3 separate regions of the Mus musculus genome follow, and all the other regions are reported to be linked to region 1. The links are microRNA targets in miRTarBase. Many come from high-throughput screens and were not tested one by one. Region 1 holds a microRNA gene; each other region holds the end of a gene's coding sequence.

Evidence for each region. The annotated mature microRNA mmu-miR-351-5p reads UCCCUGAGGAGCCCUUUGAGCCUG and lies in region 1 at 4,918-4,941, opposite strand. An mRNA with a match to its seed (bases 2 to 7 or 8) in the 3' UTR can be bound and repressed. Matches are read on the target gene's strand: a 7mer-m8 pairs with bases 2 to 8, a 7mer-A1 pairs with bases 2 to 7 and ends in A, and an 8mer does both.
Region 2: miRTarBase lists Siah2 as a target of mmu-miR-351-5p. Seed matches in the 3' UTR shown: 7mer-m8 at 6,256-6,262.
Region 3: the mRNA of Antxr2 is a reported target of mmu-miR-351-5p. Seed matches in the 3' UTR shown: 7mer-m8 at 5,964-5,970.

The regions. Positions count from the first base shown.
Region 1 is chrX:53,048,398-53,055,918 of GRCm38, forward strand. It overlaps Mir351 (microRNA 351), which reads right to left and starts at 4,956; the gene lies at 4,858-4,956. Mir542 (microRNA 542) reads right to left here and starts at 1,090; the gene lies at 1,006-1,090. It overlaps C430049B03Rik (RIKEN cDNA C430049B03 gene), which reads right to left. Exons shown (of 4, transcript NR_038185.1): 4 at 4,715-7,093. It overlaps Mir503 (microRNA 503), which reads right to left and starts at 5,657; the gene lies at 5,587-5,657. It also overlaps Mir322.
Region 2 is chr3:58,669,344-58,677,180 of GRCm38, forward strand. Siah2 (siah E3 ubiquitin protein ligase 2) reads right to left here. Exons shown (of 2, transcript NM_009174.3): 2 at 5,606-7,100. The coding sequence ends at 6,543. Among named protein-coding and RNA genes, the nearest start is that of Siah2, 19 kb to the right of the region's middle.
Region 3 is chr5:97,879,650-97,887,486 of GRCm38, forward strand. Antxr2 (anthrax toxin receptor 2) reads right to left here. Exons shown (of 17, transcript NM_133738.2): 17 at 5,039-6,951. The coding sequence ends at 6,913. Among named protein-coding and RNA genes, the nearest start is that of Gm34097, 37 kb to the left of the region's middle.

The DNA of each region.
Region 1 (7,521 bases):
ATCATTCAACCACAGCATCAGTCCCCAGCATATTTGTTCAATAACATTAAAGCACAACTCAGGATAACTATAATATTTTGATCTGTTCTCTTAGCCTTATATCTGTATATTGATCCCATGTATGTAAAATTAAAACGGAGAAGAAAATATTTTGCATGTTTATCATTAAACGCTTTTTATTAGTGTTTGTGGCACATCTTTATGTCACAAAAATTATTTTCAGAAATATCAATCTTAATGATAGCATCCTATCACATTGTCTTAGAAGAGCATATTTTATTTATGCAACCCTTTACTATTAATAAGTCATTTTATCCTCAAAATGACTGAAGTGAAGGGAGGTGGTAACCCCAGTGACATAGATGGTGAGGCAAATGAGCCACAGATGCAGATTCCTCCTGGCAGGCCTAGAGAGTGATTTAAAGCCAGCATGAGCAAGTTAGTGAGGCCTAGTCTCAAAAAAAAAAAAAAAAAAAAGAATTGCAAGCAGGTATGATGGCATACACTTATAATGCCAGCCCTTGGGAGGGGGAATTAGGAGGGGAAGGAATTCAACATGAGCCTCTGCTACACAAGTTTGAGTCTGGGTAACATAAGATCTTGCCTCAAAAATAAATAAATAAATAAATAAATAGTAATAAACATCCTGATGTTTTTTCATTTTCCGTGACTTTCCGTGGCTTGTATATTTATCTTCATGGCTATTTATATGACTCCACATTTTTAAGGTAACCTGTTTTTCTAAAGCTTACAGCTAATGTTTTTCTTGTTTGAGGAAAAACATAGTTTTAATATTTTAGCCTATATATAAAACCATATGTCCTGTCTAGGCTTCAGTGGACTGAATAGAAATGCAAATTAATAAAACCCTTCTCATTCTATAAAAACACAACCCATACCCTCCCCCACTCCATGGCAACCCCTTTCCTCCTTGCCTAGGGCTCAGTCCTCTCCTGACCTCTCATCTCTGTAATACTCACCCCACCAATTCTTAGGAAGAGGAGTGGCTCCCAGACCTTTCAGTTATCAATCTGTCACAAGGGCACAGTGGTATCTCGTGACATGATGATCCCCGAGACGTCTGAGATCCCTGCATGTGTAACCTCAAATTTCTGGATCTCCCAGTACCCTTAAAGACCTTTTAGCGAGTAGCATTTCACAATGGGACACAAATCAAAGCACAACAAAACAAAGAAACAGCAAAACTGTGAAGATGGGGAAAAAAAAACAAAACAAATAAGCAGCTAACCAACCTACTACAAATTCTGTTTTTAAAAAGTCTCTTTGTTTTGCAGTTTCTTTCCAGTTTCTACTCTACTTTCAGCCACCAGAGTTAGTGTAATTCTGTGGCCTTGATTTTTAAAAGCTTGTTATCTTAAGAATGTTTCTAAGTTTCTAGGTAGTTTTTATGATTATTCACAATGACTAAAAACGTTCTTTTGAGGATGCCACTAAATTAATCTCTATGGTTAGTTCATATTTGCTCCCTTAATTTACTTGAGTCTATAGAAAGGATCAAAGCTTTAAAGTGAATTCACTTTACAATTTTTAAGCTTGTACACATTGAATCATGCATGGGTAGGTGACTTACAGTCATTACTTAATCATGAAGTCAATCTTGAGCCTCAGTTAGGAAGTGTCCAGCAGTTAGACTCTCACTCGTCCTTCTTAGGACTAGACAGTTTCAACTAGACCTTTTCTAACCAAACACACTAGTTCAGCTCCATTTTCTGTCCTAATCACTATGGTGTAAGCTTCTGATGGCCAGGCAGGAATGTTACCTGGCACAGCATGAAGTCTGCATGATGCAGTTTCCCAGGTTTCATCTTCAGAATCCTCAGGTCTCTCGAAACTTTGTCTGCCTTACTTATCTCTCAAAGTTGTAAACAACAAATCTATGAAAGCAGTTGGGGCCGTAAGTGAACAGAGGAAATGAAGGCAAGTGCTGAGATGAGGATTGTAAAGATTTGGTTTCTAGGGCACAAACATTCTGCCTTCACTCTGCAGAGTGGAGGTGGGGGAGGGGTAGCAAAAGACCCGAAGGAAGGAGTCAGGCTGCAAAGCAAGCAGTATTCCCAGCCCCCAACAATGCCCCCGACTTGGAGCTGGGGAGGGGAGCGGGAGGGGGGGAGTGCGGCGGAGGGGGCGGGAGGGGGGCACGCTTTTCAATTTTCACCACTTGCTCCGAAGACAGAGCTCAAGAGTAAAGGGGAGTGCTCCAAGGCTGAGGGACCACAGGAAATGGAAATCGTTAGAGGCTCCTCCCACAAGGCTCTAAGCCCCTTTAAACTTGAGGAGGATATCAATTGTGGACCCAGTGCAGGAAACAGATGAGTGAAATATTAGGACAGAGCCAGGAGATCCTAGCTCAATGGATGGGCATAAGGCAGGCTGAACTGGGCCTCGGAGATACAGATTTGCTATGATTGGTGTATACATACTGTGTTTCGTTTTAAGAGGCATACAATAACTCTACATAAAGATGAACGTATAAGTTTCTGGCATCATGAGAAATGCTTCTGGACAACGGGAAAATAGATCTCTAGAAATTAATGTTAACTTGGTAATGCCCACAGCTCAAGTCTTTTGATCTCTATCAATATATATTCATTGATCTTCCTGAAGCATACTTTTTGAACCTATTTGTATTTTTTTTTTAATCTGCACCGTCTCTCAGGAAATCTGCCTATTAATTAATTTATGTCGTGTAGATTCATCATGTTTCCCTTGCTGTTCCCTCCTCCTCAATGGATTGACAGGTATGGTGCTTTAGAATAATCAGTAAAATAATGGGCATTGCAGAGTCCTTCTTGGGTGTTTGTTTAATTGGACAGTTGCCCATGTTACTGGACATCAAAAGCAACACAGAATTATTTGGTCTCCCAGCACTGGAGTGTATCCAAATGTTTTCCTGTTTAGGATTCAACTTTTCTCCTTGTCTGCGTGCATGCATAAATGCTTTACACAATTACATTTGCTGACTTTTTCTGTGGCCCTGGTTATTGGCATCTAGTTTTTCCAAGTAACATTGACACACATCTGTTCAAATCAATTGACGCTTCTATCAGGACTGACTCATTTGGTGGAAAAAACAAGTTTACATGCCAACTGGAACAAAGGAGCCTAGATTTGGGGGAATAGCAGGAAAAATGAAAACGGTGGGGCCGGATTATTTGACTTACAGATCATAAAACACTTTCCAATAACATTTTAAAAAGGTATACAATATTACACTAGTGACTGGTTATATACTGTACCCCCCTAGTTGGGTGGTTTTCAATATCTAGTGTGGTAAAACGCATATAAATTACAGTTTTTGAAAGATGATTGTACTTTCTTGGAACAGGAGTCTTCTGTGTCCACATCCCCAAGATTGTTGATGTAGTGTTCCCTTGTTGGAAAACCAAACCAAACCAAACCAATATGGCTAGCAGAAGATGCCTTCAGAAGTATTCCTGTTATTAAAATTGTTACAAAATTATGTTCAATTCTAGTGTATCACAATAACCTGAATATCTTGTCCTACAACTTACAGAAATGTCAGAGTTTAGATTTAGAGCCAGGCTAAGCTTTTCATAGTTTTAAGAGCCATGTCTGTCTAGTAACCTTTTACAATGCCACGTGCACACAGCTTCCTCACTAACAAATAACATGTGTTGGGGGAAAAAAAACGGAGAAAACAATGGAGAGGTGCCTCTTTGAATGTGGTAATGGAGGATCAATTAATCAGCCGACCATAAATTGAATCACTTTATACAAGTCTCCCACACATTATCATGCACATTTAGCAATGTTTGAAAAACAATTTAAAAGAATACCTTAGGGAGTTGTTAAAGGGAATTTATAATCTGGAACGAATTGCCATCTTCTTAATTGACATAGAAGTGTTTGGCTAAAATATTGCTTTATTCACATTTTGCCCTTGGAAGAAAATCGAAGCACATCATAACTTCGACTAGGCAAATAAAGGTGCGAAGAGCATTTCAAATCAAAAAAGGGCACCACGCAGCCAGGTGCTATGTGGATGAGCTCAATTTTGGCGCCCTTGGGCACCTTGGGCTAATGGCATCTTAGATTCTTAGTCAGTGGCCTTAAACCTGGATCATTTGCTCCTCTGCTCTAAAGTCCCCAACCCACCTGAATCTCACTTGAATCTTGCAGGCACCCACTGGAAGCAGCCAGATGGCGCAGGCCAGATTCTTCTGGGTGAGTGGGGGCCTTCAGTGAGCCCCGGCGCTCTTCCTCTGGCATAAGGCAAAGCCCTGTTGAACAGTGGAGATGGAGAAGGGAAGTTGGTGAGGGAGAATAGGAAGTCTCAAAGTGCCCCTCCTCCAACCCTGCGCATAGGAACGCGGGGCGCCTGAACCTGTTAGCCATTTGTCTTGGGGATTCCGGGCCAGAGGGGCCCTGCCAAGGGGAGGGGTGAGGCAGGAGCTGGGGGGCGTGGCTTCAAGAAGCCAAGGAGATGGGGGCAAGGCGTGGCTTAAGTTCCAAGGGGTTTCAGTGCTCCTGGGAGCCAGGGGGTCCTTGGGGGCCCAACGGGACCCAAACCACCTCCCACACCTTGTTCAAACGCAAAGGAGTCTGGGAGAAAGGCATTTGGTGGCTAGAGCTAGACTCCCAGGCTCACAAGGCCTCCTCTAACTGTACCTTTTATGGGGGCCTGCACCCAGTCCCTGGGGAAGATGACAAGCAGTTCATACAGACCAGAAGGGTGTGTGTACATGTATTTTATTTCTTTTTAATAAGACAAAGCAGCACGATTTCACCCACACTCCGTTTTCCAACAGTCCTTTACATGCCTATACTCCAGATTATGGAAAGTGATTTTCACAGGAAAAGTACAGTCTTGCTCCAGAAGTTTAACACTCTTCTCCAGTTCCCAGGCGCCTCTTGACCTGTTTTTTTTTTTCACTCCAGGCTCAAAGGGCTCCTCAGGGAAACGGAGGTGCCATGATTAATCACAGCAGAGTTTGGGATGTCACAAAGCAGCCATTTTCTCAGAGACTTCTAGGCAGTGACAAGGGTGTCCCCATGTCCCCACTGCCATGTAGAATTGTGTGATGACTTTGGGAAAGGGGGATAAATGGGGACTAGAAATGCAGAGCCTCACTGAGGCTTCCTGTTGGGCCATTGCCTCTCATTGTACCACCTGGGGGTCCGCACCAGCAAGACACGAAGAGATCCAGGGACACTCCCACGGACCCCTTAATCTTTCCTAAACTGCAAAGAGAAATGGGGACTTTCTCAAGTCATCCTTCCTGCCCTTCAGAACCCTTCTTATTCCTTTTGGAAGGACCCCTTCTCCATTTTGTTGTTGAGGACTTAGGACAAATTTTCTTGTTTCGCTCTTGTGGGTGGTATACTACTTGATGACCAGGAAGTGCTTTTTTTTTTTCCCAGTTGATTCACTTTTACCTGAGCAGCAAGTGAGGCGCTAACAACACACTTTCAGTCACACCCAGTCAGAGTCACAGATCAGCAACTCTAGTTGGGAGCTGTTCTAGAGTCTCCCTCCCATGGGGCCTATGCTGCAGGCTAACCGAAACTTACCTGGTGGGTGTGCCCATGTGGAAGACCCAGACTTACCCAGGCAGTGGAAACAATACTCCAGGGCACCAAACACTCACTGCAGTACTGTTCCCGCTGCTAGGGCACGACTGAGTGGGATGGGCTGAGTACAGGATGCCTTGTCCCTTCTTCAAGTGAATTGCCACCTTGCTATTCACACCCACCCAGGCCCTTGGACTGTGTAGAGTGACCCTCACTAGACTAAGCCCCTGCCCTCCCACCTACCTGCTTTAGGGCTTTTAGTAGAACCCACACAGGTCTGTTCAGCAGGTCCCCACCTTCTACATTCCCCACGAAGGGGTGTTGCAGCGCTTCATGTTTTGAACCTTGGCAATACTCCAAAACATGAATTGCTGCTGCAGCCCTTCGGAGTCAACGAGGGTGGGGGCCGCTCTGGGGTACCTGCGAAGGAAGAAAGTCTCTGTGATTTCCAGGATCTGCTGGTGAGGCAAAGGGTGTACTGTTGGAAAGCAGGGTGTGGTGGATAGTGGGGAGGAGGAGACTCTTACCTCAGAAAGTAGATGAAAAGTGGGATTAAATAAACTGAGACAATTTGGTAACATCTGGATCACTCTTGCCAGCTCCAAAGTCTTGGTGAAACTTCCTGCTACCTTGTATAAGTCTCATTTATTGTCCCCGGGTTTTGATCATTTATTGGAAATTGGTGCAAGGAACTTTTGATAATCAAAAAAAAATCCCTCTGGGTAGTCCCAGTTGGTTTTACTGAATACTATAGGCATGGAATAGACTTGTCTAGTAGTTTCCTCCGTTCTTACAGTAATCACCTCGTCATTAGTTATTTTTAAGGACAAAGCATGAGAATGTTCTAGATGAAACATACATTCCTGGATGTTCTCATACATTGCTGGCTACTCAAGCTTATTTATAAAGACATTTGTTACCATCGACATCAAATCACAAATCAAGAACTTTAAATAAATGACATCCTTAAATACTTGATGTTAAATACAAATCACTCCTTCTTAAGCCACGCCACTGAAAATCTTGTCTTGAAATGGCCGGCACTGTGCGCTCTCCTCAGCTCCCACTGTTGCTTTTCAAAATGGACACACATGAGCAACAAGTTACATTCATTTCCTTGTTTAAACAAAGCATTCAGGAAAGCACAAAAACCATCCTTTAGTCCTTAACCACAAACCTAATAACTAAAACAACAAAACTACAGTGCCTTTGAAAGCAAAAAACATTCTGTATACAAATTTCCTGTATTCTCATTTAAAATTATGTCCGTTTTTCGAAACTAGTACAATGAATGCTGGGTCCTTTTAATTAATTAATAAAATATACAGAGTATGTAATTAAACTAAATACAAAATTCCTAACATAACAGATAATGATCCAGTGCTAACATATGCATTGCTTAGGTCATGATAAATAAAGCCATTAATAATAACAGCCCCACTCCTTAAGTTGGAATGAAAATTCCGTCTTTTCTTGGCTATATTACAAGTCATTTTTACATGGACACGGAATTGTGGAGGAAAAAACCATCGATGGTCACCTTTAAAAAGAGGAGAGAGAAAAGCCGTGTTTAGTAAAGATACAATTATACTTTAAAGATACGTATTTTTCTCCCAATTTAACTTTATGTCCCACACAAATGTCACATCAGAGATTGCAATTCCTCTTAATTTAACATTTCCTTAGTTGACTACTCATAAAAACAAAATTCATTCGAGATAACATCATCAAAAACGAAGGTCTTACTAGATAATTTTGTTAACGAATACACTGGAATCAAATTCATCTCTAGATTATCCTTCATCCATTTCTTTTCTTCCCATCACTCTACAACGACTTATATCCTTAAAAAGCCATCTCACTCCCTGGGTTTGTGTATTTCCCCTTGGGCTTAACTTTACTTACGAAAAGAGAGCACAAAGAGATGTCTGGTCACTTCTAGAGAGGGTCATTCGCTGATACAATAGA
Region 2 (7,837 bases), not on the chromosome of region 1:
TTACACACTTCCTCTAACAAGGCCACAACTCCTCATTCTTTTCAAACAGTTCCTTTGACTGGAGACTAAGTATTCAAACATATGAGCCTTTGGGAGCTACTCTCATTCAGCACACCACATTCTATGCCCTGGCCATCATAGGCTTATAGCCATATCACAATGCAAAATGCATTCAGCCCAACTTCAAAAGTCTCCATAGTCGTTCACAGCCTCAACACTATTTAAAAGTCCAAATGTATCAGAGTCTCAAGACAATCTCTCTACTTGTAACCCCCTATAAAGTAAAAAAGTAAGTGACATACTTCCAACGCACAATGGTATGGAAGATACATTAAAGAAGAAAGGGGGCACAGTGAGGAATCACTGGGATAAAGCAAGACTGAAGCCCAGCAGGTCAGCCTCCGAATTCTACATCTCTGTGTCTGACGGCAAAGGAGGTTTCCATTCCAGGTTTGCTGCCTGCACCACACTCCTCTCTCCTGGGTGGGTTCCACACACTGTCTGGAACTTTCCTTGGCAGGTACCCCCATAGCTCTGGAATCTCCAACATCTTGGAGTCTTCTATGCAAATGAGGCTTCACTTTCACAGCTTCTCACAGAGACCTCTCTCCCAGTCTTGTTTTCAAAGTTATTGTGAATAGGATTTTTTTTCATGGATTTCTTTCTTGGCATGTTCTTATTGGTACACAGAACTATTTATCTTTGTATGTTGACTTTGTTGCAATTCTGTATGCTACTTTCTTACAAGTGTATATGAGATCTAAAAATTTCCAGGAGGAGGACTAAACCACCAACCAAGGAGTACACATGGAGCGACCCATGGCTCCAGCTGCATATGTAGTAGAGGATGGCCTTGTTGGGTATCAGTGGGAGGAGAGACCCTTGGCCCTCTGAAGGCTCAATGCCCGAGTATAAGGGAACACCAGGGCAGGGAGGCAGGATTGGGTGGATGGGTGGAGGAGCATTCTCATAGAAGCAGGGGGAGGGAGGATGGGATAGGGGGTTTCTGGAGGGGAAACCAGGGAAGGGGATAACATTTGAGCTCTTTTAAGTGTAGCTTTAAGTCATCTATATGTTGGGATAATTTGACTTCTTTCTTTCCTATTTGGATTCTTATACTTTCTTTCATGCACTTTGTTTTAAGCTCACCAAGTCTACTTAGTGCTCGCCTGTAATGAGCATGGTTGTAGGACCATCTACTGGCGTACGAGCAGCATCTCCAGGAACACATCCCAAAAGGCTCTCAATCACCAGCACCCATGAATTGCCCCTTCCTCCCTCCCTCCCTCCCTCCCTCCCTCCCTCCCTCCCTCCCTCCCTCCCTCCCTCCCTCCCTCCCCTCCCTCCCTTCCTTCCTTCTTTCCTCCCTCCCTCCCTTTCTTCTTTCTTTCTAGTTTTAATTTTGTGCAGGTCTTGAGTATGGAGTCCTAGCCGACGTGAGTTTGTGAGTGTACCAGCCCTGCCATGCCTAGAAGTCACTGCAAACCTCTACCACCCATGCTCTTAAAAAATTTCCCACCTGCTCCAACACAACGATCCCAGAGCCTTGGAGGGGAGGTGACTATAGATGCCCCATTTAGAGCTGAGCAATCCACAGTCTTTTATTCTCTGCATACAGATCAATGGTGGGCCTCTGTACTCATTGCCGTCTACTTCAAAAGCAGCTTTTCTGACGGGGGCTGAAGGATGCCCTACTCTATGGGACTAAGAGCAAGAACTTAGTTGGAAATTCATTTCTATGTCCACTCAGGAGAATAGCCGACTTAGGTAGCCATGGCTTAGTTGGCCTAGTTAGTGGTTCCAGGCAGAGCTTGTGGAACAGGACATACATCCAATCAGAAAGTGACCGATTACTTTGATCTGCCTGCCCTCTTCTCCTCAGTCTTGGGATTAAAGGCATGTGCCTCCTCCCAGTCTACTTTGGAAGGCTCAGTCTCGAGTAGTACCACTCATCAAGGATGGAAACAAACTGACCTAGTGGCGTGAAACCACAGAAGCTGTACAGGCGCATTTAACACAGTTCACAGCCCGACCACGCCATGGAAAGTGACCGGACTGCGGCACAAGGTGCCTTGAAGTTGAACACTGTTGATGCCAGTGTGAAGATCTTGAGCACAAGATAAGGGAAGGAGACGGGATGGAGCCAAGAGCAAAGCAGGGTCCTGTAAGCGAAAGGAGGAGAGTGGAAAGTAGTATGGAGGGGAAGAAAAAGGAGCAAGAGATTAAAAATATGAAGTTTTTTTTTGCTTTTTTTTTTTTTTTTTAAAGAGGGGCTGGAGAGACAGCTCCTGGGGTAGAAGCACTGGCCACCAAAGCTTAGTGACTTTAATTCAATCCCCAAGATCCAGAACTCCCAGCTGGCCTCAGGTTCAAAGCCCTCAAGTTCAAGGGTTATTCTCAGTTGAGATCTGTTCCCAGATGGCCAGCTTTCCCCCACCCCTTCCCAGTGTAAGGCAGTCTCAGGCTGCTTGCACCTTGCATGTTGTCAGTGTCTGGCCCCCTGCCTTCTCCAGCTGCCTCAGTCAGGGGCTGTCCCAGGACAAACTGAAGCTCTCCAACTTCAAGGTTCCAGTCTTTGGCCCCCTGGGTAGCTCGGTTCTCAAGAACAGCTTTTCTCAAGACTCCCACACTCATCGCACAGCATGAGATCTCTTTCCCTGACCAGTTGAGAACCAGCCCTTCCAAAACTTGCAATTGGCTTCTAGAATGACTAGGGGCATGGGCACGGGGGCGTGGGCCTGTCTGGAGTGTTGTACTCACAGGCCAGCTTTCATCCGGCTTAGCTCTTGGAAGTGGCTCCTGCCCACTTCCACTCCCCACCCCACCCCAGACCCAAGGGGAATTACAGCCGTTTCACTTCCTTCTCAGTGTCATGGTCCCCCACCCCACCCCTTACACATTTCTGGTATCCTTTACTTCCTTTTTGAATTTTGGAAGCCCTTTCTCTATTTCTCTCTCTGCAGTTGTCTGTTTGTATTCTGACTGTCTCCTTCCCTGGCTCACAGGGCCTTCACTCAGCCTTACTTGGAAGCTCTAATCTTTGACATTGCAGGAAGCCCTGCACATTTATATTCATTCATTCATTCATTCATTCATTCATTCTTAAATTGGTAACAGCGATGGCGTTGGTGTCCACAGACTCCATGTTCTTTTTGTCATTTGGAGACTTTAAGGCAAATGAACAGTATTCATTGAAAGTACATTTTAAGCCTCAAGTGAGTAGCAGGTGGTTTGTTTTAAAGATTGTGACAATGGGTGGCTTCATGGTTCAAGCAGGGGTCAAGGCCAGACTCTATGAGTGGAGGACTACAAAGCAAAGCTGGTCTCTGTGCCCAGGTCGCACCTGCAGCTCTGACTCAGCTGAAATGTGATCCACCAGTCACAGACATCCCTGGCATCCCAGAGTCACTTCCTGCAGAGGCTGCCTGCATGGTCTGTCTGCTTTAGCTCAAGTTGAATGTCCTCTCACAGAAGTTAGCACTAGATACAACATTCAGAAAACAGTCCTTCTAATGTTGCTAGTTAGGAATTGTAGCCTTGGGGCTGATTTAGGGTCACAGTGCTGGCCCCATGGCAAGTTCCAAGAACCTTAATGGCATTAGTACAGAGATGATTCCCTCCAGTGATATTCTGGGCATGCGTAAGGGAGTTGTGTGGTACTCATATAACCCTGGCCGCTTTTAGTAGGGATGTAACTGCTGGAACCCGAGGTTGTATCTGAGAATCCAAGATGGCTGTTGCCCTCAGGGACCTCTCTCAAGTTTTCTGTCATTCCTGCTGCACCTAGCTTCTAAAACCATGTTTCAGAGACACAGACCAAATCCTCCCCAGCAATGATGATGATGGTGTCAGTGGGGAGCTCCAGATCTCAGATTTCGTTTATTTAAAAAAAAAAAGACAGAATATTTTCTTCTCTTGTCCTTTTGAGAACCATTGCATAAATGTATCAGAGCGCCACACAACACAGGCTGAATCCACCACTGCCCAATCAGCCATGTTTTAATCACCGGCAAAGGACAAAGGAGAAGAAATCTTACATTTTTTAAAAATATGGCAAATAGATCACATGCTGACTTCTTGACAATTATTGGTTATTCTGTTTGTTAAGAGCCAGTTCTGACTTACATCTTTCTCACTTCCTCTTGCATTCCTATTATAATCTGTGGATTCTCAGCCAGCCTTTTTTTTTTTTTTTTCTTCTTTCTCTGTTAGAAAATATAATTTCTGGAACGCCAGCGAGTAGACAGGTCATGGTTGGTGATCTCATCAGATTGTGGGGCCTTCTAACTGGAAGAGCGCAGTTGTCCACAGGTTTATTAACCTTCATTAAATCCTATCCTGAGGGGCATGGGGAATTAGCACGCCTGAACTCCAGGACCCACGTCGCTGGCCACTATGGTGGCTACCCCTCCTCACCCACTTTGCATTTAACATGCTGTTTCTCCATCTCCTCCTTTCAGGCCTTGCTCATAGCTTTTTCTTTCCTGCACTGTTGGCCACAGAGTCCCGATTTCAGTAGTAACATGAAGGGTTATATAGGAAGCAACTGCTGACAGGCTCAGCTTTTTTATACTCACACTGCCTGGGTATCATGGGAGGAGATGGGCCCCTACCTGCTCCTGGAAGCTGGCTTACCTCTGCCAGTGGGAGATGTGATGTACTTAGTGCCAACAGCGGTTTTTCTTCACTTCCAAAATATATCATTATCTACTTTTGTACAGATCTTTTTACTCTTCATTTGAAGAATAGCCTATAATTTACCTTAGCAACGGTTTTACTTAAGGTTTCTATTACTTTGATAGAACACCATATACACAAGCACCTTGAGGAGTAAAGGGCTTATTTTTCTTATGCTTCCATATCAGAGTCCATAACTGATGGATTTCAAGGCAGGAATTGAAGCATGGCAGAAACCTGAAGACAAGGAGGGGCTAAGAGGCCATGGAGAAGTTCTGCTTATTGGCGTGTTCAGCCCTCAGGACCACCAGCCCAGGGGTGGAACTGTCCATAGCGAGCTGGATACTCCCACATCAACCTTAATAAAATTACCACAGGCAAATTTGGTGGGTGTCAAGTTGGCATAAAACCAGCCAACTTCCTTACCTGCCAGAACTCTGTGATTAAAGCTTAACATGTGTCTCTCTTAGAAAACATGGACAGCTCCGGAGCCATCACTCCCAACTGCTCTTCTGTTAGCTTAATCACCTCACTGAGGAGACGCTGAATTCTGGAACAAAGTTCAGGGCTAATGTGAATTGTTTTGGGACACTGGGCTTGGAAGGAGAGAGCGTGCACCATGGTTGGCCTCATCATTTCTGGCCCCAACACTAACCATGCCTCCTCTTTGTAATTTTGGAAAATGGGAGTTGTGTGTTTTCTCACAGCTGGCAGTCAGACAGCAAACAATCCTGGAGATGAGACCCACATCACTAGTGACAACGCATAACACTGACTGGGTTTAGACCTATGGGCTGCTGTCCCCAACCTTGGACCAGCGGCTTTGCTGGATGTACTAGCTCTAGAGGTAGTGGTGGAGACTTCTGCATCTGTCCACAGTAGATGTGCAATAGATACATACGATTCAAGCAGAAAATGAAGCATGACATTCATTTATTGAAAAAATTTTATTAAAAAATTAAAGTGTGTGTGTATGTGTGTGCGCGTATGTAAAGATAAAAACAAAAACAACAAAAACTAAACCCACACAACTGACACATGCTTTTAAAATGGCAAGCATGTGACACTGGTTATCAAGTTCTCCCAAGCACTGATCTAGTCTCTCACATCAGTTACAGTCAAGGAGGGCTTCCAAGGGAAGCCATATGTAAACAAGTCATCCGTACTATGGTGAGCAACAACTAACTGTGAGAACTCTCAACTCACTGAGCGCCTGAAAGCAGGCCAACCCCAGGGGTTGCATCCCCATGGATTTAGAGTTCTGGTCTCCATGTGGTGTGTGCAGAGGCTGAGGACGGACAGTAGAGACCAACAGTGTCAGCAGAGGACGCCTTAAAGCACCTTTAGATCCTGGACCCTTGCCCACAATTCAAGCCAGTAATCCTCAAACTCTGAGATGAGGAGGTTGCTCAACTCTGTTGATTCTCTAGCTCTGTGTTGGAGATGAGTACTACAGGTGATTCTGTGTAAATACCCAGCCTGAAAGGTATTAAAGCAACTGCTACCTCCTAGAAATAACGGGACTCTCAGGAAAGTCACTGTGCTTTTGTTGGCTCAGGATGAGGCAGGGGGAGGCAGCCCTGAGCGATCTGTCAAGAGCTGTTCAGGAAGGAAATAGAATAGAGTTGATTTGAGATCACCGAACCACCTCCAAATTACTAACAGGCCAACTCCGATTATCACAGTTCGGTGAACTTAGATTCATCAGTGCCAGACAGGAAGCTATCATTTAAATAAAACATAGGACAGTTGTGGGTCTCGCCTCGGGAAGATGTACTGAATAAAACATCTATTAAAAAACCTTTATTAAACATAGAGCGCTATGCCCAAATAACTTCCCAGGGTTAGGAAAGCCTCCTGGAGCCTCACTGACAGCATGTAGATATCGTGACATTGATTCCAAGGTTCCCATTATCTGCAAAGAGATGTGCTATGGCTGTGTCAAAAACAAGACAGTCACTGTTCATGATGGCTGCAGCCACGCCATCATGAATGGACCGAGGTGTGGCCTCCCAGGTCAGTCTCCTCCGGTTCCCATTCAACTCCAGTCTGTAGGCAAAGTTCTCAGCTTGCTTTCGGGTGCCAATGAGGAGGACGATGGCAAAGAACTGCTGGTGGCCTTCGTACTTCTCTTGCTTTTCAAGTACCAGCATGAAGTGGTGGCCAAAACAGGACTGCATCATCACCCAGTCCACAGCCCCTGGCAGGTTAATGTCTGTAGCTAGAAAGACTATGTCCTCTCCCTGAAGGGTAGTGATACTCTTGTGGGCATGCATGAGATGGGACATCACAGCTTCCAGGGATCCCTGCCACTTGCAGGACGCACCAGGACAAGGACAGGAATAAGGACGGTATTCACAGATGTCTTCATGCTCTGGTTTCTCTGTATGGTGTAGAGTCAGGGAACAGCCCGTGGTAGCATACTGCAGAGACAGAAAGCAACATACTGCATCATGGCGTCTTCCCAAAACCTCCTCAGTACCAGCATCTATGCAGACCTACCCACACTGGGCTTCCTGGGCTCCAATTCTATCTATCTAAACTACTTCTGTTGAAGGAAAGTCAAGTCTCAGTTTCTATTCACTGTCAATAGCATCATGTGTAAAGTCAGGGCACTGCTTTCTAGACCCACACCCCAACAATGGTAAACAATGAGGATCAATTGTTCTTTTCCCTATACCAGACAAGCAAAACTACTGAGATAACATGGCCCTCTTCCTCACTTTTGATAAGCCCTGATTGCTTTTAAGAAGTCAAGTGCTTGGATGTGGGGCGGGGCAATGGAACACGGGATCATCTCTAGGCTTTTCCTGCGAACAGATGGCTTTGAAGACAGCGCAGTTTCACTTAGTCCTTCCTAAGACTGATGGCAGGTCATCTAGTCAGTGGGCAGGGCTCCCTGGTCTTGACTGCCAGTGGCTAAGCCTGGGTGGAGGAGGCTGGGACCCACTTTTGTTGCCATGCTGTCACCTCTGTCCTCACCTTTGTCCCCAAGAGGGCTGTGCCTACAGATTTTTGTTTTTGTTTTTAAAGAATCACATTTCAGGACTGGCGCCTTAGCAGAGGTTAAAGTCCTTAAAGCCCACTAAGTTTTCCTGAAATTTCTTCCTAGTGGTCAAGCGCACACCTCTTGCTGAGGAGGCTTGTGTGGCCCTCATTC
Region 3 (7,837 bases), not on the chromosome of region 1:
TGGATCAAAATTAATAATTTTTCTACCAATTCAATCTACCTAGACTTTAACTCATCTTTATCATTTTATACTTTATCACACCTATGACTATCTTTATAATTGCTGCTTACCAATCTTTAATATATATGTGAGATTTGCTTCAATTTTAAAACAAGTTCTTATGAGAACATTCTTAATTATGGGTGAAAAACAGTTAACAGGTGGGAGGAAGTTCTGTTGAAGTCCATATGTCTATTACTGATGTTAGCATTAGAATATCAGTGTATTTTTGCCCATAGTCTCTGGTGATATTTAAATACCTTCTTAAATGTTTTTCAGAATGACAGCAGAAAGCTTTCCAGGAATAACTTAGTTAACGTATGGCCTTCTGCACAAATGCTTTGGAGGAAACAAAACTCTGACCACATGCTTCCATCTCCTGGGCGATCTTTCATCTGGCAAACATCTTCCAGCAGTGTAACCCTTAGCTCAGTTCATTGTGTGAAGTCTTAAGTACAGTACAAAACACGCAGCACAAAAGAATGGAGCAAATGGAGGGTCTCTCCCGGCTCCAGTCATGGCGTATCAAGATAATGAATTTCCACAGGGGTGGATTTAACACGGAGAGCTGAGCCTAGCTTGTAGGTCTCTTATGGTGATAGGTTAAAAAAAAAGTAGCTATTTAAAAAAGGGAACTCACAGGTTTGCGTGAGCTAAATAAAGACCCTTGCAACATTCGTGTCTTCCTCCCTTGAACTAATGATTGTTACTCTATATGGAGAAAGGGAACCTTCAGGCAATGTTCCTGCTGAATTATGGGAATAAACACAGGACAGTCGCAATGGTCTTTATATGGCAGCCGGAGACCAAAGGCAACTGCTGCTGTGAAGACTGTTGAAGGTTGGTGTGCGGTGCGTTGGAGGCAGATGAAGCTAAAGATTGTAGGCGGCAATAGAAGCTGAAGAAGGCAAAGAAAAGAAATCAGGGAGAAAATAAATTTGTGTTACGTTTGGAACACTAAATATGTAGAGCTTCATCATAGCCATGGGAAAGGGAAATAAACTATCTCTCTTCAATTTCGTTGGTATTAAAAGTTTCTCAAAGCAAGAAATTATGAACATATGTGATTATAACCTTGAGGTGAGATATATCACACTGATTTTTGAAGTTATGGGAAATATTTTTTAAAGAAAATTGACCCCCAGCCTGTTCATAAGGCCTGTTTGAGGAACTTGAGACATGCACTGTATGTCTCCGGGAAGCCCGAGGAATCAGCTTTTCTCTGTCATTTGATAAGAACTTTTGAAAGGATTGGTTTAGTGTTAGAAATGCATCTGGTTAGTAGTTCCTGGGCAGTGGCAGTACACTGAGTTATTAAGCCACCATGATGCTGCACTAAGTTTGCATTTAGTGTTGTGATATATGTGACTGAATCTCCTCAAAGGTACGCTGTAGGTCATGGTGCAGTCCCCAGTAGCTTCTTTAAATTATTTACAATTCTTTCCAATTTCCTGAAATATCTTTCTCCTTAGAGAAGGCTCAAGATGCTCATTACAAAACTCCTCAAAATTTCTCCTATAAAAAAACATTAAGAATTTGTTGAAGATTTTTACACTTGAGCATATTGTTTAAAATATAATCCTTCCTTCTGTGTGACAGCCTCACACAAACAAAGTATTTAAAGAAAACGAAGGTCTGTCATTGCTCTGTTTAATTAGCAGAAACTTTTAGAATTAAAAAGATGTTTTTAAAAGTAAAATAACTTGAAGAGAACTTGAGTGTCATCATCGTCATTGTCTGGTTTCACATCAGAAATTCAAGTCAAAATTCCATTTATAGGCGTCATCTGCTAGAACTGGTCAGTTTTGTTTCCCATTTTGAGTTTTTCTCCAGTTGCTTTTACAAATCAGATGGTGGAATCCATGAGCTTGCCAAGAGATTTAGATTTGTCCCTAATTGAGCACAGGATGCAACAGCTTCCTTTATCAACTGTGGCTTTGAATGTGCTCAGCCCTTCCATTCACATCTATTGTTTCCCATCAACCCCCACCCCCACCCCCGCCTTTGCCTTCATGAAAGAGATGTGTTTATTGTTAATGGTCTGCCCTCTGGGAAATAGTTTCTAATACTTCTACTTAGGTTGAACATATTTAAATATACATTCTAGTCATGTCTAAAATTTGCTCTATTTATGACTAACATTTGCAATCTTGCAAAGATAACTTATCAGAGATATAAATAACTTTTTAACGATTAGGAGATAAAATTTAGGATTTGGGGGGTATAGGATTCTTCCAGTAGTCATCTACATTAAGACCAGGGTAAGTCTGTGCAAGGCTCATTCTGTGAATAAACTCCAGATGCTAAACACTAAATCACTCAACAAAAGAGTTCTCGTTGACTATGTGCTATGGACAACATAACACAGGCATAGTTGTTGTTAATCAAGTGGGCTTTTCGTTTGTTTTGATTTTCCTTTTGTCTAGTGTTGACTGGGGGAAGTATACATTTTAAATTTCTATAATATATAAATGATTTCATAACTACTTCAGAATAGGGATTTTCTTTTGCCTCTGTATATGAAAATTTAAGACACCCAGTGAGACTGGAAGACCAGAACAAACTCTAAATACCTTTTCTAATGTTTTGCTTATCTTAAGAGAGGTTTTGGTCATATATGACTATAGTACCTGTTGCTCTAACAAATTCTTCTGTAAAACATTGACTAAGAAATTACACCATTATGACTAATTGTCAACTTATATGTTAGAGTTCAATGTCTTTTCTGTAACTAAACTGGCAGTTTGCAGAGCTAATACTATCAAACTTTACAAGGAAGAAGGCACTCATGACAAATTTGAAATAAACACTAAAATCTCTGATTTCATCATTTTCATGCAAACATCAGAACTGGGAGGAACTTTTGGTATGACTGAAGTGTTGGCCTCTCAAGCCAGCCAGCCACCTGCTCACTAGGTGTCCACACAGAACATCCCTTCCTGCTTCCCATCCTGATAAATGAGGAAAGCAACTTATATATGAACATGTATATAGAGATGTATGTTCTATACCTTGTTCTTTCACATTATAATATTCTTTTGGCAGGAGTACAAAAAATATATTTTACAAAACAGCAAGAAGCCTGTTACATTATGGGTTTTCAATAAATTTATTCATTCTTTTACCCAATTGACTGAATAAAATTCTAGTAAATATAGAAATATACTAAAATTAAAATGTTCTCAGAATATTCCATAGAAATTGACTAGACAACACTAATATAATGAGACTTCACTATAGCTACACTGACTACAGACAGCACTTCCTAGCTTCATGAGCCTACTGCTTCCTTTAACTATACAACAGATGCTCCAATTAGTCTAAGCATTTAGAGTGTGTGTGTGTGTGTGTGTGTGTGTGTGTGTGTGTGTGCAACACACATTTCCCCTGTGTGTATATATACAACACTTCGAGCATAGTAATTAAATTCTAATAAATTTGTTAATATAATAGAAAGGAAAATCTAATAAAGGTTAACCAGAATATAAAAAAGAAATTACAATGGTTTCTAATACTTGTATTATAACCTTATTATATTTTGTCTTTAGAATTTCCAAACATAATATCTGTAAAACCACCAACTAGAAATGTCTCCATCAACTTGCTCCTCAATACAGATAGTGCTTCAATCTTAAAGAAATTAGTCTACCTCTGAACAGTAAATACAGGTCAGAGACATTCAGATAATGAAATTCAGTTCACAGAGACACTCATATCTTATATCTGATAAGGATTTTTTAAGTGATTAGGACAAAGTTCATTGGAAATAAAAGAAAAACTTCTCAACAACTTGAAATATAAGGTTTTAAACCTTTTATATTCTTAACAAAATAGTAATTAACCATAGATGACAGATGCTGCTCCCTAGTCAATGGAGACTCTTAAGTTTTACTCTGCATCTCATTGGGAAGGAAATATAAATTTTTAAAATAGAATTAACTTGGGGGAAGGCATCAGAGCTGCAACTCTTAGCACCAAATGTTTCTTCTTGGAGCACCAAATGCTTTACGGAAAACATTCCAAGTATCTAAGTTTTCAGATAGATAAATATTTATGGATCAAATCCATAAAGAACAGACATTGTTATGAAATATATATAGATGCCTTCAAAACTTTCTTTCTAGGCAGAGGAGACACATAAGTTAGGAGTCATTTCCCACTTAATTGCTTTTGCAACCTTATGTAACACAAATGGATGATGGACAAGACTCATTTGTTTGTACAAAGGAGGAGATCTCGACTGACATCGTGTCCAGATCAATCACACGGGAGCTATTGCTATGTATGAAAAGTGTCACATAAAGATTCGCAATGTCCTCTGCCAAGAAGATTAATTTTAAAAACAAATTCTCATTTCTGCTAAGATCTGCGATTAAAGCATAACATTAATCTGGTTCATAACTTTAAGGGCAATGGAATTCCATCTGTCTTTGAACCTTATGAATGATCCTTTCCCAGTCTATGTGTAGACTCCTGACTCACCCTCTTCATTTACAGCTCTTTGTTGTATTTTTATGACACATCCTCCAGCCAGTGCAACAAATCTCAAGGAAGCTATTTTGCCATTTAAAGGCAGAGGTTTATTTACATCCCTCGTGGTGCAAACATGCTACAGGATTCTGTGAAAATTTGAAGTGGTTACCAAAGAAACATAGCCAGAGCTTCTGTAGTATTTTTGATGCTCTTAAAATATCACGAATGGGTGTGTGCCTGCATCAGAAATGAAATGCCTTTTGGGGAAGTGGCCATAGGTCCTGTTTTAGAGGCAGACACAGAACAAACGTCTACAAAGACCATCACAGGAAGAGTTAGGTGTACTTACCAGCCTTCTATGTGCACACACAGATTATACCCGTAACATCAACCATGAATCAACTGTGAACATGTTGGATATTTTACAATGGAATAGAATTCCATCTTGTTACTAACCAGAGCAGTTGTGTGTCCAACCCTACAAAGTGTAAGCTCCATGTGAACTTAAAGAAACTGATAACAGAGACACAGGTAAAAATTTTTTATTCACTAATATGTGGAGGTGTGACTTTGGATCCAGCCAGTCAGTGATATAAATAAGGTTGAGCAAAAAGATTAAAGCTAGAGAGTGTAGGTGTGTGCATTTGTATATTTGTATGTGTGCATAAGGCTTCTTGGAGCAGTGCCACAAACGTGGACACCAATGAAAAATATCACTGCCGTCCTTTGAAATTTCCATGAAGAGTACAATGCGGGCAATTATATGAGGATGCTCTAAATGGCTCTTTCCATCTCCTGCACTCACATGCCCGCCAAACATGAAATGTTCGCCTTCTCCCTTCCAAAGTGATGGTTGTTGAACTTATTTTTAGTGTCATTTGATAAGCCTTTGTGCTCGCAGAGAGACATCCCACTGACCCGGCCACTGGTCATTGTCTATAACAGTTCACATCAAAGCAGGCGCGCTTTGTCAGGTTTCCAGTCGAATATCCATTTCGCATCTGAAGTACAGTATCGAAAGTGACTAGATTATCTGAGCTATTTCCTTCGGCTGCTGCCGCCTTCCTCCCCCACCGGGTTTCTGCTCACACTAACATAATTTGGCATCGTTGACGTGACACGATGGTGATATTTCTAAAAATTTATAGTATGTATATTGTCCATGCTTTCTGATGGCGCCCCTCCTGATTTTAATTTATAAACAGAAGGAAGGAGGTCTCTTTCCCAGGCTGAACCACAACCAAGGTGTGGTGCTCCTCAATTTCTAAGTAACATGCATACAGTGATAGGTCACTCAATGTCAAAAGGCATAAAAAAGATGAGCAAAATCTTCACAGGCTGCTGCTTGCTGTTGCCTTTAATTATATTAATTAAACTTTGAAATTTTCATGCAAAGAGAGTTGCTGGCTTGTGACGCTGAAGAGCCCTTGGAGACTTGAAGGAAGAAAAAACCCTGAGCGGAAGCTTTGTGGTTGCAGCTTCCTTAAATTAAAAGCCAAACAAACATCTAGGTGTTTTTACAGATATTAATGCTTTATGCACTGCTAAATCCCAAATGCTGAGAAAGGGGGATCTACCAGGCTGGGGACAACGTCTCAAATCACAAGTCCTTATGCTGCGCTCCAGGTCTTTGGTTGGAGGCGGTCTTCCTGTTGAATTAACGCTCTATTAATTCTCTTGTCTCAAGTGCATAATAAAAGAAAGGTGTCTTGGAAAACTAAAGGGCAAAAATCCTGCTTGCATCCAGTACCTTGAGGCGTCTCGTCTACATTTTGTCATGCGTGTGCACTTTCAGTGTAACAGTGACAAGATTTTCTAGTCAGAAATTTCCTGTAAGGCACAAAGTAATGGAGGACTTGGAAAGGCTTTGCTATCTGACATAGCTACAAGGCAGTGGACTCCATTATCTGTTTAGCCTGGGAGGAAACTTCATGTTTTGCTTGTAGCTAAAGATCTTGCCAAACAAAAGCACAGGGGCCACACATTCATGGCAGAATCACCAGTCTCCATTGCAAACCTCTGTGGCTGGTGGATTTGCAGTCCTAGCTTTGGTATCATTACATCATCGATGTGTCTGCTTTGTCCTCTTACATAGTCAAAACGAGCTTTGCATAAACCCTAGCATGCAAACTAACATTCCTCGGGATTTTCAGTGTCGTGAATCATGGGCTATCGCCGATGACTTTCATCACCTCTCATGTCGATGGCAGAACAAGTGTTGGAAAATGTTTAGTGCACAGAAAGCAGAAGGCAGAGGAAACATTTCCTGACAGAGAGAAAATGGGCTGTTGTCCCAAGAACTTCTGAGATGCACCGGACTGTCGGTTCTGTTGGAAATCAGCATCATGAAGATACACTGTCACACTGTCTTCTTATCTTCTCATTCTTTGTTCTCCCGTCTTATTGATGTGGAACCCGGGAGAAGTTTATGCATCGGCCCTGAGGGAAGAAAGATATCCATGGTGAAATAAGGAAGCAGTTGTTAAAAAGTCAAGGAGCATCTACTTTCCATAGCAAGATGTAACTAATGATACCAAAGCTCAGAACAATGTCCCCATTAGTCATTAAGTCATCATTTTCCCTGGCTCAAGACAACATGGCTCAGATCTTATTTCATTTGATTTTATTTATTGTGTACAGAAAATTTGCTTATTTGATGGTATGCTAAAGTCCATGTAGAAAAAAAAATCAACATGGGATTAAAACTTTGTAAGTGCTGTCTGAAGTGTGGCGCCGCTGTCATAAAATCAAACTCTCAATAACATCACCGTATACATTTCTATGACGAAGTAAAAATGGATGAATTTTCTTATGCAATTGAGTGATTCTAAAAATGTGCTTACGAGGACTATATTAAAGAGGTCGTTAAAACCAAGGACAAGGAAACCCGAGACTGGATAGAGATGCTTTCTTTGTGCTGTACTTTATTCTACATCACATCCTAGATTGCTGACCCACTTCTAACACCACTATTATAGATCCTGTTTTCCCAAATTAAGACAATTTACTTCAATTACATATTTTTAGAGAGTATTTTTTCAGTCCAGTTCCTAAACAATTTAGTGAAGGTTGTGTAGATATATTGATTCATAGAATAATCACTAACCCAATAATTATCTGAAAACAAAATTTCCCATTGTTGATAAAGACTCTCCCTTCCCCCTTTCCTATAATACTGTTGACTTGTGACACATGACTTGTGTCCAGAGTCCTCCACTGGCCAAATCTAGCCCACTTTCTCCTAGTTTAGGCCAGAATTATCATGCAATTAAGACTTCCATTTGCTATTACATCTGCTCTCAAAAGCTCCTCATGTTAGAGTTTC